4 linked regions of the Rattus norvegicus genome follow. The protein of the gene in region 1 interacts with the protein of each later gene in a biochemical or structural test. Links are inferred from orthologs where the notes say so. Each region holds a gene or a part of one and is shown in the gene's direction. Other genes may lie near its edges.

What was found. The genes of interacting proteins can lie anywhere in the genome.
Region 2: the proteins of Src (region 1) and Muc1 form a complex in vitro, tested with the Homo sapiens proteins (2 studies listed by BioGRID, with this or other methods). The link is inferred for Rattus norvegicus from reciprocal best matches to the Homo sapiens genes SRC and MUC1.
Region 3: of the proteins of Src (region 1) and Shc1, one has a biochemical effect on the other in vitro, tested with the Homo sapiens proteins (4 studies listed by BioGRID and IntAct, with this or other methods). The link is inferred for Rattus norvegicus from reciprocal best matches to the Homo sapiens genes SRC and SHC1.
Region 4: the proteins of Src (region 1) and Dok1 form a complex in vitro, tested with the Homo sapiens proteins (2 studies listed by BioGRID, with this or other methods). The link is inferred for Rattus norvegicus from reciprocal best matches to the Homo sapiens genes SRC and DOK1.

Annotation. Positions count from the first base shown.
Region 1 is NC_086021.1:166,547,688-166,551,187, forward strand, and holds part of Src (proto-oncogene tyrosine-protein kinase Src), read left to right. Parts: intron 1-2,902; coding exon 2,903-3,001; intron 3,002-3,169; coding exon 3,170-3,273; intron 3,274-3,500. UniProt on the Homo sapiens protein: Non-receptor protein tyrosine kinase which is activated following engagement of many different classes of cellular receptors including immune response receptors, integrins and other adhesion receptors, receptor protein tyrosine kinases, G protein-coupled receptors as well as cytokine receptors.
Region 2 is NC_086020.1:176,932,423-176,936,549, forward strand, and holds the start of Muc1 (mucin-1 precursor), read left to right. Parts: upstream 1-1,327; 5' UTR 1,328-1,388; coding exon 1,389-1,446; intron 1,447-2,216; coding exon 2,217-3,592; intron 3,593-3,691; coding exon 3,692-3,744; intron 3,745-3,885; coding exon 3,886-4,019; intron 4,020-4,127. UniProt on the Homo sapiens protein: The alpha subunit has cell adhesive properties. Can act both as an adhesion and an anti-adhesion protein. May provide a protective layer on epithelial cells against bacterial and enzyme attack.
Region 3 is NC_086020.1:177,137,356-177,141,347, forward strand, and holds the start of Shc1 (SHC-transforming protein 1), read left to right. Parts: upstream 1-1,192; 5' UTR 1,193-1,400; coding exon 1,401-1,895; intron 1,896-2,454; coding exon 2,455-2,525; intron 2,526-3,009; coding exon 3,010-3,073; intron 3,074-3,202; coding exon 3,203-3,322; intron 3,323-3,698; coding exon 3,699-3,752; intron 3,753-3,992. UniProt on the Homo sapiens protein: Signaling adapter that couples activated growth factor receptors to signaling pathways. Participates in a signaling cascade initiated by activated KIT and KITLG/SCF.
Region 4 is NC_086022.1:117,094,835-117,099,002, reverse strand, and holds Dok1 (docking protein 1), read left to right. Parts: upstream 1-1,368; 5' UTR 1,369-1,376; coding exon 1,377-1,436; intron 1,437-1,455; exon of another isoform or gene 1,456-1,604; intron 1,605-1,699; exon of another isoform or gene 1,700-1,704; coding exon of another isoform or gene 1,705-1,743; coding exon 1,744-2,043; intron 2,044-2,182; coding exon 2,183-2,276; intron 2,277-2,392; coding exon 2,393-2,577; intron 2,578-2,747; coding exon 2,748-3,551; 3' UTR 3,552-3,832; downstream 3,833-4,168. UniProt on the Homo sapiens protein: DOK proteins are enzymatically inert adaptor or scaffolding proteins. They provide a docking platform for the assembly of multimolecular signaling complexes. DOK1 appears to be a negative regulator of the insulin signaling pathway.

The DNA of each region.
Region 1 (3,500 bases):
CTTTGGGGTACAGTTTCTTTCTCCCTCTTTGTTGCCTTTTAGAATGGTGGGGACCTGTGCAGCCAGGCAGTTAGAGTCAGTCACAAAGGAGTCTTATCCACTGGAGGCCCCGGGGTGGTGGATTGGGCCACAGGGCTGCTGCTGGGACTTCCTGACCAACCCCTGCTCTACCCAGGCTCAGAAAAGTTCAGGTGTCAAACAGTTCTGCCTGGCGGTAAATGTCATTACTCTCAGGTCATCTTGGCCTGGCACCTCTTCCTAGCTGAGATGCTGGGGCCCCTATCATGGGAGAGTGCCAGACCCCTGGCCAGCCAGTCCCTGGCTACCCGAGGCATAGGTCCACTGAAGCCTAGGTGGTCATCCCTACCCCAGCCTGAAGCTATGTCCACACTCTACTTGCTAGAGACTAAATATTGCCTCCTTTATAAATGTGAGCACATGCCCAGAGAGGGCATGCTATTTGTTCAAGGTCACACAGTGTTTCTCCAGGAACTACTCAGCTCTGGGGGGCCGGGGCAGTACAGGCAGGCACACTAGGAGCTGTGGTTTTAGTGCTTCCTTCCTGTTTAGCTCTTGTGATAGCAACAGTTTTATGCGTATTAGCACCTGCTCCATGTTGGTCTGTACACTGACCTTTGACCTTCTGGGAGCCAGCGAGGGAGCTCAGGCTTCAGATGGGGGCGGGAGCAGTGGGATACTTCTCTGTTCATTTTCTTGGAGAGGTATCCCCCAAACAGGCCAGTGAACCCCTAGGGACCCGTGGGCTGATGTCAGGCTGTTTTGCTAGCTCTGGCTATAGTTTGGCCACCTCATTCTGTGGTCTCTGATGTCAAACCTGGGTCCCATCCTGGTACAAGCCTGTCTTCTGTCCCAGTCCTCCTGTCTCCCTGTCTCTTGTCCCCTGGCTTCTGGAGATTTGGAGAACTTGCATTTGGCTGTGGACATTAGGGACCCCTGATTTCAGCCTCTCTCTGCCATTGACTATGCGTGTGGCTTTGGGCAAATCATCTCCTCCTCTGTGCCTCAGTTTCCTCTACTCTATAAAGAAAACACTGGTCTCTCTTAGTAGAGTGACTGGGTTTTCCACCTCTCTCAAATATAGTTTCCTCAGCTAGGGTGGGGGCCTTGCCTTCTTTTTTTTTTTTTTTTTTTGGTTCTTTTTTTCGGAGCTGGGGACCGAACCCAGGGCCTTGCGCTTCCTAGGTAAGCGCTCTACCACTGAGCTAAATCCCCAGCCCCGGGGGGGGGGGGGGGGGGCTTGCCTTCTTCCTTGTTGGATGGTGTCTGAGGTCAAGCCGGACGGAAATGTGTGCTAAGCAAGGGTGGACCTTTGGGTGCTGGGTGAGCTTGCACCTTGCCTGTGTCTGTGTCCCTCATGACTCCACTCACACCCTCTTCACTGCGCATGTCCATTTAGAAGGGACCCCTCTGGCCCAGCATTGGCCAAGACAGAGTCTGATGCTCTCCCCGCCCGCCTCCAGCCTTTCCTTCAAGCTCCTCCAGCTCAGCTTGCTCCTGGCCTCAACTTCTCCATCTGTGAAGCTGGGCAAACACGTGCTCAGACCTCCAGTGCCGTCAAGTTGGGACTGTGTGACTCAAGGCCAGGACCTTTCTGTCTCTGGACCAGGGTGGGATGCTGTGTAATCTTCTCAGGATCAAGGCAGGGCCAAGGCCACCAGCTGAATAATTTGACCCTCATCTTGTCTACTCCCCAAGCCTTGCATGAAGAGCTGCAGAGTCATTGAGCCTCATGGTACCCACAGGGAGGCACCTGGCCTGGCTGTGTGACCTTGCACAGAGCCCTTTGCTTCTCCACCCTGTCTTTCCGTCTGTACAGGGGGTGTGGGAAGGGCTGGACCCTAGCTCCCAGGCCTTGCCCTCTGATCTTCCCTCAAACATCCAACCTTCTCCCCGTCCCCTTTGGTTGCTTTGGATGTGAGGTCTCTGGCTGCCCCCTACACCCCATTCCCAGTGTCCCCAGCACTGCCTGGCTCTCTCGCTCTCTCTCCCTTGCCCCCCCCCCCCCATCACGGCCTCTCACCACCCCCATCTCTGCCTCTTCTCTCCTGTCGGGCTCTCGCTTGCTCCTCCCTCCTCTGTCTCTGGACCCCTGCTCCAGCCAGACCTGGTTCACATTCAGATGGCTGCAAAGGTACTTCTGCCCTTCCCCCTCCTGCCCAGGCCCAGAGCCCGAGCCCTGCTGGGATCCCTCCTCCTTCTTGCCCTCCTCCCACCTCCCTCCCCCCTCTTCCTGGGGCAGTTAGTGTAGAGGGTCCTGAGCACTGGGCTCAGCCACCTCTGTTCCCGTGACTTGCTGTGTGACTTTGGGCATGGCCCAGTTCTCTCTGGCTTCACTTTCCCCACAGACAGGGGTAGGCTGCAGGAGGAGGCCTGTAGTTCTGTTAAGGACTTTTAGGAGTGAGCTGTGATTTGGGACAGGGGCAAGCATTGCTTGTTTGAAGGGATGGGACTGAATTATTGCTGGGCCAGACGGGCTAGCCCTTGTCTCCATTGGGCGTTAGGGCTCTCAGGGCTTGGGGAGACTTTGAAGGTCTAATCTGGCATCTGTCTCATGTAAACCTTGCTTCTCCCTTCTCCTCCCCGCAACAGGGAGCTTCCTCTCTCCTAAGGCAGCCCTTGGCACCTGCAGGCCGCTGTGCACTTCTGGACAGTTCAGTCTTGGGTGGGATGGGGCTCAGTTCTGCTGAGGTTTTAGGCGCCATCCCTCTGGGTCAGTGTGTCTGGGAAGTAGAGGTTCCAGGCCAGTTCCTGCTGGCTTGCTGTGTACACAGGCTGCCCCTGCTTCCCTTGCTACAGAACCTGGCCATGCACCTGGGGAAGTCAGGGTCACCGACCCTGCTCCCCCGGTGACATCATTTTTTGCTCCCTCCCTTCTGCTCAGAGAGGGAGACTGGTGGCTGGCACACTCGCTGAGCACCGGACAGACCGGTTACATCCCCAGTAACTATGTGGCGCCCTCCGACTCCATCCAGGCTGAGGAGTGAGTATGTTGTTCGGCTATGGTCTGCTGCCACTGCCACCCCTAGTACAGGGTCCTTTGTGGGCCTGAGTGGGCAGCAGGTTGGCTACCCTGAAACCCCAGTACCCAGGGCCAGCATTGTGGGCAGCGAACCCTGGTCAACAGACACACTTGTCCCTCCCACTCCAGGTGGTACTTTGGCAAGATCACTAGACGGGAATCAGAGCGGCTACTTCTCAACGCCGAGAACCCCAGAGGGACCTTCCTCGTGAGGGAGAGTGAGACCACAAAAGGTATGCTTGAGCACCCCTGTGGCTGGCAGAACTCAGCTTCGAGGGTATTATTTGAGCTGGGTATTGGAGAGTGAATCTGAGTTTGGTGCACGGGATGGGGAGGGGAGAGCCTTTCAGTGGAGGAGATAGCAGGAATTAAAGTTACCGTGGTACTTGAGGAAGACTGAGTGATCCAGAGGTGGCTTCCCTCTGGCCTCGGTTTTCACACAGGGAGTGGGTACAGGTTG
Region 2 (4,127 bases), on another chromosome or scaffold:
CACACACACACACGGGTTTGCCTTGTTCCACGTGCTTGTTCACCCAAACCCAACTATTTCTGCCCGTCAGAATACCTCTCGGTTCTCCCTAAACACACACACACACACACACACACACACACACACACACACACACACACACACACACACACACACACACGGGTTTGCCTTGTTCCACGTGCTTGTTCGCCCCAAATATTGTTCCTCTTCCAGATACATCTCGAAGTTCCCAAGTTCCACGATCGCCCCACCTACTCTTTGCCTCCTGAATATCTAGCTACCTGTACATAACCTGTCCCGTCCCCCTTTGCCAATTCAGTGTCATCACACAACTCGATACCCCCTTCCACATACCTTGGGGCTCCAACCACTTATCCCCTGTCCCCAAACACCATCCCCAGAAGTCAGAGTAACCCAAGTAATGATCCCTGCTTCTTCCCGACACTGTGCATTTTTATCTGTCGAAGGCGTTGATTCTTTCCGCCAAGACACAACTAACTTCCCTAAGATATGTGCCTCAACTTGGGCTGTGCTTCCAAAACCTCCCTACACAGAAGCAACCCTTCAGCCTGTGCGAGTACGCCGCGCGACGCTCGCGGTGACCACTAGAGGGCAGGCGTTTCCGGGTAGAAGGACTGGTCAGCCTGCCACTCAAGGTGGAGGGTTGAGTAGGAAGGACCTTAGGCTTCAGTGGAGCCTGGAGTTTCGTCCTTTTTAAGTGGAAATTTCCCCCATCGCCTTTCTCCGGAGAAAGTCAAAGAGAGACCCAGGCTACTGGAAAGTCTGGCAGGGGCGGGGACTGTGGTTTTCAGAGTACAGGGAGCGGTTAGAAGGGTGGGGCTGTTCCGGGAAGTGGCGGGGGGGGGGGGCGCTAAAACTAGCGACCTGTCCACTATTATCCCCCTTATGTCCTCTCAACTTATGAGAAGTGGTTTTTAAGGATCCTCAGAGAGAATAGGAAAAGGGATCGGGGAGGGGGAGCGGGAAACGGGCTTCCCTTGTTGTCCAGGGTCTTTCTGTGTTTCCCTTACTCTTCTTGGCTGTTGCTCTGGGACTAAAACCAGAGCCAGGGCCCCCAGATTTCCTCCACATACACACCTGGGGTACTCAAAGAGTGGTTGGTAAAAGTGGGAGGCCAAATGGAGAATAAACAGGTTGTCATATGGTTGAGTGATTGGAGCCCAAGTACCCTACACAGGAATGACTGGGGAGGAGGAGGAAAGAATAGGGGAGGGGGTGGAGTTTTGTTACCTGTCACCTGCTCTGACTGTGCCTAGGGCGGGAGGGGGACTGGTATAAAGCAGCAGGCACCAGCCCTGTTCCAGCGCACACACGCAGCGCCAGCCTTGAGTCTGTTTCTACCCCTTTCCCGCCTGTTCACCACCACCATGACCCCGGGCATACGGGTTCCTCTCCTCCTGCTGCTACTTCTAGCAAGCCTAAAAGGTGAGAGGTACAAGGTGGGGAGGGGCTGCACTGTTCAGGTGGGACTCAGTCTTTCTGGCACAATGAGAGTCATAAGTGGCCATCCACTCAGGGATGGCCCAGTATGTGCCGGAGGGAAAGAGGCTAAGGAAGGAGGCTGAGAAGAGGTGACTCCCCCAAGAGAGTGGGCACCAGAGTAGGCAAATGCTCTTCGTGGGGAGTAGAGAAGAGAGGCTGCGTCAGGAGAAGCAGCTCCAGCTCCGGAGTGGAAGAATGGGGCCGTGTGGTTCCAGTCTACAATTCCCACACTCAGGACACTCGGGTTCACAGAGAGTTCAAGGCCAGCCTAGGGTACAGTATGAATACCTGTCTCAGAGATAAGCAGTAGAGGAGTGAATGAGCCAGAAGCAGAGGTGAGACCTTTGAGGAGGGAGGCTGTCAGGAAGGATGAAGGCAAACGTAGGACTACCTGATGTTAACCTGACCCCCCTTCCTTCCGGGGTTACTTTGGTTTCGGAGTTTATATTTTTCTTCTTGCTCTGATTTTATTCATTAACCCAGTAGGTTTCCCCCCCCCCTTTTTTTTTTAAACTCTGGCTCTAGCCAGAACTAAAACATCACACATGCTATCTAAAGCAACCCAGTGTCCAACTCTGTTGATTGGTGCTGTGAGCATGAAACCCCCTCATCTTCCACTCTGGCTCAGGTTTTCCTGCCCTTCCAAGTCAGAAAAATAGTGTCACCTTATCTCAGGACACCAGCAGTTTCCTTAACATCGACTATCACTCCAGTCCGCAGTGGTGCCTCCTCCTCAACCACCAGCCTTCCAGGGGACTCCTTCAGCACTGCAGTCCCCAGTGGTGCCTCTTCCTCAGCCACCAGCCCTCCAGTGGACTCCACCACCTCTCCAGTTCATAGTAGCACCTCGTTCCCAGCCACCAGCCCTCCAGGAGACTCCACCAGCACTGCAGTCCTCAGTGGTGACTCAGATCCAGCCACCAGCCCTCCAGGGGACTCCTCCAGCACTGCAGTCCCCAATGGTGCCTCTTCCTCAGCCACCAGCCCTCCAGTGGACTCCACCACCTCCCCAGTTCATAGTAGCACCTCGTTCCCAGCCACCAGCTCTCCAGGGGACTCCACCAGCACTGCAGTCACCAGTGGCACCTCTTCCTCAGCCACCAGCCCTCCAGAGGACTCCTCCAGCACTGCAGTCACCAGTGGCACCTCGTCCCCAGCCACCAGCCCTCCAGGGGACTCCTCCAGCACTGCAGTCACCAGTGGCACCTCGTCCCCAGCCACCAGCCCTATATTGGACTCCTCCAGCACTGCAGTCCTCAGTGGCACCTCGTCCCCAGCCACCAGCCCTCCAGAGGACTCCACCAGCACTGCAGTCACCAGTGGCACCTCGTCCCCAGCCACCAGCCCTCCAGAGGACTCCACCAGCACTGCAGTCACCAGTGGCACCTCGTCCCCAGCCACCAGCCCTATATTGGACTCCTCCAGCACTGCAATCCACAGTGGCACCTCGTCCCCAGCCACCAGCCCTCCAGGGGACTCCTCCAGCACTGCAGTCCTCAGCGGTGCTTCCACCCAAACCACCAAGGCTGTATCAGACTTAGCTAGCACTCCAACCCACAATGGCATCATGGTCCCAACTACCTGGTCTGCATTGAGCTCAGCCACCAGTCCGGTGTACAGTGGTTCCTCAGCTACAACTAATAGCTCTGAATCAGACATGGCCACCACTCCAGTGTACAGTGGCACCCCATTCTCTTCTACCACGGCTACGTCAGCTATCACCCCAGACCACAATGGCTCCTTGGTGCGAACTACCAGTTCTGTGTTGGGCTTAGCCACCAGTCCAGCCCATGATACCTCTGCGGTGGCCACAACTCCAGTCCGCAATGACACTCAGTCTTCAGTTCCAAGTCAGCAGCCCATCTCTCCCACCATCCCCGCCATCTCCAGCCACAGTACTGTTAGCAGCAGCTCTTACTACAGCACAGCGGTCTTCCCTACCTTCTCCAGTAACAGCTCACCCCAGTTGTCTGTCGGGGTCTCCTTCTTCTCGTTGTCTTTTTACATTCGGAACCACCCATTTAATTCTTCCCTGGAAGACCCCAGCTCCCGCTACTACCAAGAACTGAAGAGGAACATTTCCGGATTGGTGGGTATCAGCCTGGTCTCGGCCATGCTGCCCTGATATAGCTCTTCGGGACCACACGAATCTTTTACATCAAACCCGAGTCTTCTCCTCCTATCCCAGTTTCTGCAGGTTTTTAACGGAGACTTTCTGGGGGTCTCTACTATCAAGTTCAGGTATAATTCTGGATTTGCCCTGTGGGAGGGATGGACAGTCCCGCAACTTTGTGATGTCCGGGATGGGGGTGTGGCGGGTGGGGTGGGGATGCTGAGCTATAAGCAGAGAGTCGATCTGAGCCCCCTATTTCCTGCGACCAGGTCAGGCTCGGTGGTGGTAGCATCGACTGTGATTTTCCGGGAGGGCACTTTCAGTGCCTCTGAAGTGAAGTCACAGCTCGTACAACATAAGAAGGAGGCAGCTGACTATAATCTGACTATCTCGGAAGTCAATGGTGAGGTGACAGCCCCAGCTGCACCCTGGCACCACCTGTTTACCTTTGGTGCTGGGAGTGGGAAATCCACCTCCTTTGGGGACTTCCCTGACCACTGTTTTCCCTTCT
Region 3 (3,992 bases), on another chromosome or scaffold:
CCAGACAAACAAAAAAGTACCTTTTACTTCTTGTGTTTGGTTACTTTTTAAAAAGTGAATAAAGCTATAGTTTAATCCGGAGCTATTTTGATTGGTCACTTTCTTTAACTTCCTGAATGGCCTTCAGCAGAGCTGTGGCAGGAAACTGTGGGCAAAGAAATAGGGGTTTGGTATTATTATGCACTTATGGCCAGATTCCAGCTTCTGATATCCCTTTCTCCTTCCTGTCTTTATTAACACAGATTTGTTTATGGCCCTATTATCCCTTTGTGGCTTGTAGGCACCAGTTCTGTGTGTTTCTTTCTCCTACCTCCAAGGCCAACTCCTCTACTAGTGTGAAGTACACTGTCTGGTGGGGTGTGTAGCCTATAAGGCGTAAAAGTATATCTGTAGGTCTAAGGGGTGGCCAGATCTCTATATCCTCTGGGGGCTTTCCTCACTAGGCCTCTGGAAGAGCACCCCCACCCCCAAGTCTGTTGGTCCTTGGTGACTTGTAGAAACAGCCTTGCTCTAGCTCTTGTCTGGTAGCTCCCAGATGCACCACCCGAATTAGCCTTTATTCCTATTTCAGCTTTGTCTTTCCTCTGGGCCTCGCAGTACATCCACTGGGACTACTTCCCTTCCTGGTTCTCAACTCTGGTCCTCAGCTGTTGGGGTGGATGCTAATGGCCCAGGTTCCCTGGAGCTACCACCTCACTCACTGTATGGTGGGGGTGGGGGTGGTCTGGGCTAGGGGGTGAGGGATTCACGTCTTCAGCCGGGTCTGGAAAGGAAATGCTAAACTCTGAGGGACAACTTCCCTCCCCCCACTCCCCGCCCAGCAGCTTCTGTTTCCTTCCTATCCCTCCCAGTCTTCCCGGTCTTCCTGCTCTCTTTGGCTTGCCCAGGTCTGTTTGGATTGGTCCAGAGTTTTCCTTAACTCCTTCCTTTCTTTTTTCTCTTTTGCTTATTCTTCCTTTCTTTCTTGCCCGGCACCTCCTCCTTCCCAGACAGATCACTAGTTGTTTGTATTGGGCTGGGGAGAGTGGCCTGGCTAACACAAATTATGTGGGGAGGTGTCTCAACCCCTCTGAGCCTGTGAGTCAGCACTGTCCTGGGGATTGGTTTCTCTCCTTAGTTCCCCGCCCCTGGGGAGGAGCCAGTCAGCTCTGGGTCCAGCCTGTACTCCTCAGCCAGACGAGGTTTCCTAGCTGGGCTGGGCCAGGATGTGGTTTGAAACTGTCTAGGTCTGAGTTGGGAGAGCAGAGGTCACTTGTCCTTCGCCTCCCCAGGTCCTCTGTTATCACCCGGCTGCCGAGGTCAGACTAGGCTAAGGGTCTGGGGATGCCCCCTGCCTGGCCCCCTTGCCTGAATTGGCAGGGGGGCCGGGCCGGGCAGCAGCCCCCCTTCTCACCCCAGCCATGGATCTTCTACCCCCCAAGCCGAAGTACAACCCACTTCGGAATGAGTCTCTGTCATCGCTGGAGGAGGGGGCTTCAGGGTCTACTCCACCGGAGGAGCTGCCTTCCCCATCAGCCTCATCCCTGGGACCCATTCTGCCTCCTCTGCCGGGGGACGATAGCCCGACTACCCTGTGTTCCTTCTTTCCCCGGATGAGCAACTTGAAGCTGGCCAATCCTGCTGGGGGGCGCCTGGGACCTAAAGGGGAGCCAGGAAAAGCTGCAGAAGATGGGGAAGGGAGTGCAGGAGCAGCCCTTCGGGACTCAGGCCTCTTGCCCCTCCTCCAGGACATGAACAAGCTGAGTGGAGGCGGCGGGCGCAGGACTCGGGTAGAAGGGGGCCAGCTGGGGGGCGAGGAGTGGACCAGACACGGGAGCTTTGTCAATAAGCCCACACGAGGCTGGCTGCATCCCAACGACAAAGTCATGGGACCTGGGGTTTCCTACTTGGTTCGGGTGAGTGCATATCCCCTTTTCTACTCTCCCCATACCCCTTCCAGTTCCTCCAGATTTGTCGGGACTTCCTGCTCTTCCCCCTGGAACATCTGTGCCATTCTCTTAGTTCTTAAACCTGGTGCATTCCTTCTCCAGTTCTCTGCCCTTAATTTAGCCTGCGAATCTTCTGCCTTTCCTCCTTTGGTCCCCACTCCCCAGTTTACACAATGCTCAAGCACATCAGAGGCTTTTGGTAAAAGTTGAATGAAAATGACTTCTTGATTCTTCCCTTTAGACTCCTCCTTTTTCCAGAGATGTCACTCCATCCTACCCAATACCTGCTACTCCTCTCATAATGTCTCTGTGGTGCATGAAGTTCCTCTTTGCGGTCTTTCTTTCCTCTTTCCCCTTTCCCCTTCACAGTACACCTATGGGGTGGTAGCCCCAGGCAGTAGGAAAGCTACTTCACCTTTACTTTCCTTAGGGATAAGGCAAAGCCCTAGAACCTTCTGCAAAGGGCTGGCAAGTGTGGGGTGGGGGATGGGGACAGCTGATCCATTCTTCCCTCCTTCCCCTACAGTACATGGGTTGCGTGGAGGTCTTACAGTCAATGCGAGCCCTTGACTTCAATACCCGGACTCAGGTCACCAGGTTAGTGGGGATTGAAGTTACAGAAATCTCAGCCAGGGAGAGGAGGAAGTTGGGCATTTGGTGGTGGTGCTGATGGCGATTTCTCGTGGGTGGTCAGAGAACTGAAAGTTACAGAAGTAGTTCTGACTGGAAGGAGCCAGCTCTGGTGTGGAGCACCACCTCACCTAACTATCCAGCCTTGGAGACTGTGGGAAGATGGACTAGAAAAGGCAGCAGGGGTAGGAGGTTGCTGATGCTTTAGGGAAGGAGATGGAACATTCGGGAGCTGGGAAGAGGTGGAGCTGCAGCCATTGAGGCCCTAACCCAATCAGCCAGGAAGCGGCCCCTCAGTGTCATCAAATATTAAAGGCCCTTAATTCAATCCACCACGACAAAGAGCCTGGAGTGCTCTGGGAATCTGGCCTGGTCTTCCCTTCCCCCAGCTCTGTGGCAGCCCTAGCCAGGGGGAGGCCCATGGTGGGTCTGAGTACTCCTGTTTCTCCAGGGAGGCTATCAGTTTGGTGTGTGAAGCTGTGCCTGGTGCCAAAGGGGCGATGAGGAGGAGAAAGGTATGTGTGGTTGGTGTTGGGGCTGGGTGATTGGAGGCAGGGGAAGGCATGTGCAGGGCGTGTCGGGAGAAGGTGAGTATTTCCTTATGCTGGGAAAACTCAGATTCTGAGACTCTGGGCCCTTCCTAGCCCTGCAGCCGCCCACTCAGCTCTATCCTGGGAAGGAGTAACCTGAAGTTTGCTGGAATGCCGATCACTCTCACTGTGTCTACCAGCAGCCTTAACCTCATGGCAGCAGACTGCAAACAGGTGGGTAGGCTGCTCGAAGGAACCAGGGATAGTTAGTTATGGGAGCATCAAGTGGGGATTGGAGGCCAAAAACTTGCAGTCTTCAGGAAGAACTGGAGAGTAGAAGAGGAAGAAGTTAGGAAGGTTGAGTATAGTGATACCTTTTATCCTAGCACCCAGGAGGCCAAGGCAGAGGAATCTGAGTTCTAGTCAGGGCTACATAGTGAGACCTTGTGCCTCACCCCACCAAAAGAAGAAAGAAATTAGGAGAATGCAGGGTAAAAGGCCAAGAGAATGATCCCGGGGCTCCAAGGTTCTATGCTGGGGTGGGTTCACGTGGAGCCCTGAGGCTGCCTGACCTTTACCATTCCTTCCTTCTCCACCCTGCCCTCATCAGATCATTGCCAACCATCACATGCAATCTATCTCATTCGCGTCTGGTGGGGATCCGGTGAGTTGGGGAACAGAGAAAAGACGGGTGGGGAAGAAGAAACTAGGGGCTGAAATGATGCTGGCTAGAGGCTGGGAGTGGTGGCCACACAAGAATCCCAGCACTCAAGAGGCAGGATAGCCAGGGCCATGCAGAGTAATCCTTCTTGAAAAACCAAAAGAGGGAGGGAGAAAATACTGGCTAAAGAAGTGGTGCACAAGGATTGTGAAATATGTAAAAAGGACAGAGTTAGTGGGTCAG
Region 4 (4,168 bases), on another chromosome or scaffold:
AGAAAGGGCTGAGGCTAAGCAGAGCAGGAGAACCTTCTGCCACCCTCCCTAGCACATGGGCTCCCAAATATGCTGCAGAGTCAGGGGCTCCAGGAGATCTAGACTTCAAGCTGGGCAGGGTTTGGTGTGGAGTTATCCAAGCTCCCTGTAACACCTCTCTTTCTGTCACTGGGCAACCAGAAGCTAGGGCTAGCTCCTTAGCTCAGGCCTTCTGTATCCAAGGCTGAAAACAGTCCTTCCCAGTAAGGGGGGCCCTGAATTGCTTCCCCCAACTCAGACAAGACAGCTTTGTTCTGGGGGCATTTGGCTCCGAAGCCCGGTGTTCAGCTTAGGGCCTACAAACTGCACCCTGAAGTCTCCATCCCCAACAATCCGCTCAGCTCTCTGCTTTGCTGTTTCGCTCCTTTAGCAAGAATAAAACTGTCAGTTGGTTGGCTTCCCCGACTCCATCCCAAATCAGCCTTTCCCCTGGTCCACCATCCTCTCCATCCACAACTCCTCTTCCCGCTGGCCGGCTGTAACTCCCCTACCTTCGACTAGGCAGAACTCCAGAGGCTGGAAGCAGAGTCCTGGTCCTGGAGATTACTTTCAGGACTTCTCAGAAAAAAAGTGTTCGGCCAGGGGAGACTGGACCCCCCCTTCCTCCCCCCTCTTCGTTGGTCCCTCCTACGTCCTCTAGAGCCCTCCCACATTCCGCTTTCTCCCTCCATTCGGGCCAGGCCAGTTCCCTCCTCTAGATCTTCCCCTCCCCTGTGGAGCTGGCTGCAGCCACGCCACCCCCTCCCACTCCTCCGGGCTCAATGAAGCTTTCTTTTCCCGCAGGTTGGGAGGCCAGGCAGCGGCGTTCAGGATGCTGGACTTGCAAATGGTTTCGGGACAGCAGGATGGCCCCTGTGGCCGCAGGAAGCTTTTCAGCCCGTAGCCGTTTCTCCACATCTCCAGCTAGACAGAGTATCAACAGACCAGTCCAATTCCAGAGCTGGACCATGGGAACAAGGTCCCACAAAGAAAACTAATGTCCTGAGGGCCCTCTTGGTCATTATGGCGACCCCAAAGTCCCTGCAGGTGATGTCACGGCCTTCACTCTGATGTCACGTTAAATATATGTCGTCACTCCCAGCTTCCACCCCCAGGCACTAGGGCCTTTAGTTGGTGACCGCGACTTCCCTGAGTAGTGCCACTGTGCGTGCGGTGAGATAAAGGCTCCCCTTGGGTTCTTCCTGACGGCTCGTTTTCCTTCGACCCCTCCGTCCCCGCCCCCCCTCCCCGCATCACCGCCGCAGGGGCCCGGGAGGGGCGGACACGCCTCCGGCACCCTGCAGCCCCGCCCAGCCCCGCCCCCAGGGCCAGGAAGCGCGGAAGGAATCGCCTTGGCCATGGACGGGGCTTTGATGGAGGGTCCGCTTTTTCTGCAGAGTCAGCGCTTCGGGACCAAGGTAGTTTGTTTGTGTCGTGGGGGGATGGCAAAACTCCCCTGGACTAGAAATGGGTGAAAGAATCCAGAAAGAGGGAATGGGCCGGAAGAAGGTCGGAACGGCGCGCGAGCAATCGTAGAGCCCCTAAGACGTTCGTTCCCTTGAAAGTCTCGGGCTGTGCCCTCCTTGGTGCGGATTTGGGATGGCATTATCTTTGGGAAAGTAGCCCAGCCTGGGAATCCCCAGACTCAGATCGGCCTGCGTGGGTCTCTTCTCCCTTGTAGGGCGCATGCTGCCGCTCACTCTCGAGTCTTTCGTTCTTTCCCAGAGGTGGAAGAAAACTTGGGCTGTGCTTTACCCAGCCAGCCCTCACGGCGTGGCGCGGCTGGAATTCTTTGATCACAAGGGGTCGAGCTCTGGAGGGGGTCGAGGCGGCTCTCGCCGTCTAGACTGCAAGATGATACGCCTGGCTGAATGTGTGAGCGTGGTGCCTGTGACTGTGGAGAGTCCCCCTGAGCCCGGCGCCTCTGCCTTCCGCCTGGACACCGCACAACGCTCGCACCTGCTTGCAGCGGACGCCGCATCCAGCACTGCCTGGGTGCAGATTTTATGCAGAACCGCTTTTCCGGTGAGTGTCTGGGGGTGGTCACCCCTGGGCCTAAGGGGCACTGCGAGGATGAAACTACTATAACGGCATTGGACTTCTTGCACCTACCCTAGACCCAAGAGAATTATGTATATGGTCCTCGATGTTCTCTTTTCTGCAGAAAGGCGGCTGGGCTTTGGCTCAGACGGAGAACCCACCTAAGTTTTCTGCCCTGGAGATGCTGGAGAATTCGCTGTACAGCCCCACCTGGGAAGGTATTAGTCTGGCAGAAATGGAGTGGGGTGAAGAGGTGCCCTTGGGGAGATAGTGATTGGAGTCTACCAAGTCCCCAACCTGCCCCGGCGCTCCTTCTCTTCCTGTGTTCTTCCAGGATCCCAATTCTGGGTAACCTCGCAGAAGACCGAGGCTTCTGAACGCTGCGGCTTGCAAGGCTCCTACGTACTGAGGGTAGAAGCTGAGAAGCTGACCCTTCTGACTTTGGGTGCACAGAGTCAAATCCTGGAGCCGCTCCTTTTCTGGCCCTACACTCTGTTGCGACGCTATGGCCGAGACAAGGTGCATGGGGCTGTCTGGGAGGATGACCATCGGGGAGGGCTACTGGGTTGGGTAGCTGTAGGTGACAACTCCATTCCCAGGTAGTCTCTTCTGTGCAGATATACTAAATTGGTCAGACCTGTGACTCATTTCTTTAGACACTCCTAACCTGTTTCCCTCCACACCCTCAGGTAATGTTCTCCTTTGAAGCGGGTCGCCGCTGCCCCTCTGGCCCTGGGACCTTCACCTTCCAGACTGCCCAGGGAAATGACATCTTTCAGGCAGTTGAGGCTGCTATCCAGCAGCAGAAAGCCCAAGGAAAGGTGGGACAGGGACAAGATATCACCAGAACTGACTCCCATGATGGGGAGACAGAGGGGAAGATGGCTCCCACTCCTGTTCCCCAGGAACCCCTGGGCAGCCCTCCAGCCCTATATGCAGAGCCTTTAGACTCCCTGCGAATTCCTCCAGGCCCTTCTCAGGACTCTTTGTATTCAGACCCCCTGGGCAGCACCCCTGCTGGGGCAGGGGAAGGGGTGCAGCGGAAGAAACCTCTCTATTGGGATTTGTATGGGCACGTGCAGCAGCAGTTGCTGAAAACCAAGCTGATAGACTCCAAAGAGGACCCCATCTATGATGAGCCTGAGGGCCTGGCCCCTGCCCCTCTCCGGGGCCTTTATGATCTGCCTCAGGAGCCTAAGGATGCATGGTGGTGCCAGGCTCGGCTGAAGGAAGAGGGCTATGAGCTCCCTTACAACCCCGCCACCGACGACTACGCTGTGCCACCCCCTCGGAGCTCAAAGCCTACCCCTGCCCCCAAGCCACAGGGCTTGATCCTTCCTGAATCTGGTACCACAGCTGGCAGTGGCAGCAAAGGCTCAGATACAGCTCTGTACAGCCAGGTCCAGAAAAGTGGGACCCCAGGGAGATGGGACTGTGGACTCTCTAGAGTAGGGAATGACAGGGTGGGGGTCAAGTCAGAGGGTTCCACCTGAGACAGTTGCTGATAGGAGGTCCATGGGGTGGTGGCACTGAAGATCAGAGAAACCTGAGGGTGGGAGGGGCCGGGGGACCAGAGGAGTCAAGTGATGACCAGTCCCCGGAAGTTGTGGGAGTAGAAGAAACAAGGCTGCTGGACTGACTAGGCCTGTGGGAGAGGTCCACTGGTCAGAGTGAGGACACTTTGGGGAGGCCAGTATGGATCCTCACTCTTGTTCTTTGCCAGATACGTTTTAATTTATAAGGCAAATCTCATTAAAGGTGGCTTGATTGAAAAGGTCTCTGCGCATGAATAGACACTGGGGCAGGCATGCGCTGGGAGGGTGGGGAGGGGTCAAGGGAGGAAGCAGAAATATGTTGGGGACCGTGGAAGGATGAAGGGCCCCAGGGAGGGAAGCCTACAGTGTGGTGATTCACAGCCTGGGTGGTCATAGCCTCTCCTGGGCCGGTCTCTGACTCATTGACCCTGTTGTCTGTTACCTGCCATTCTTAACTCTCCTCTGCTGCCCTTACACCAAGTGTGAGAATTTGGCTGTGCTACAGAAAGGCAGCTGGCACGAGATAAGACACACTTCCCCAGCTCTTAGTGTAATCTAAAGCATAGAAGGCACTT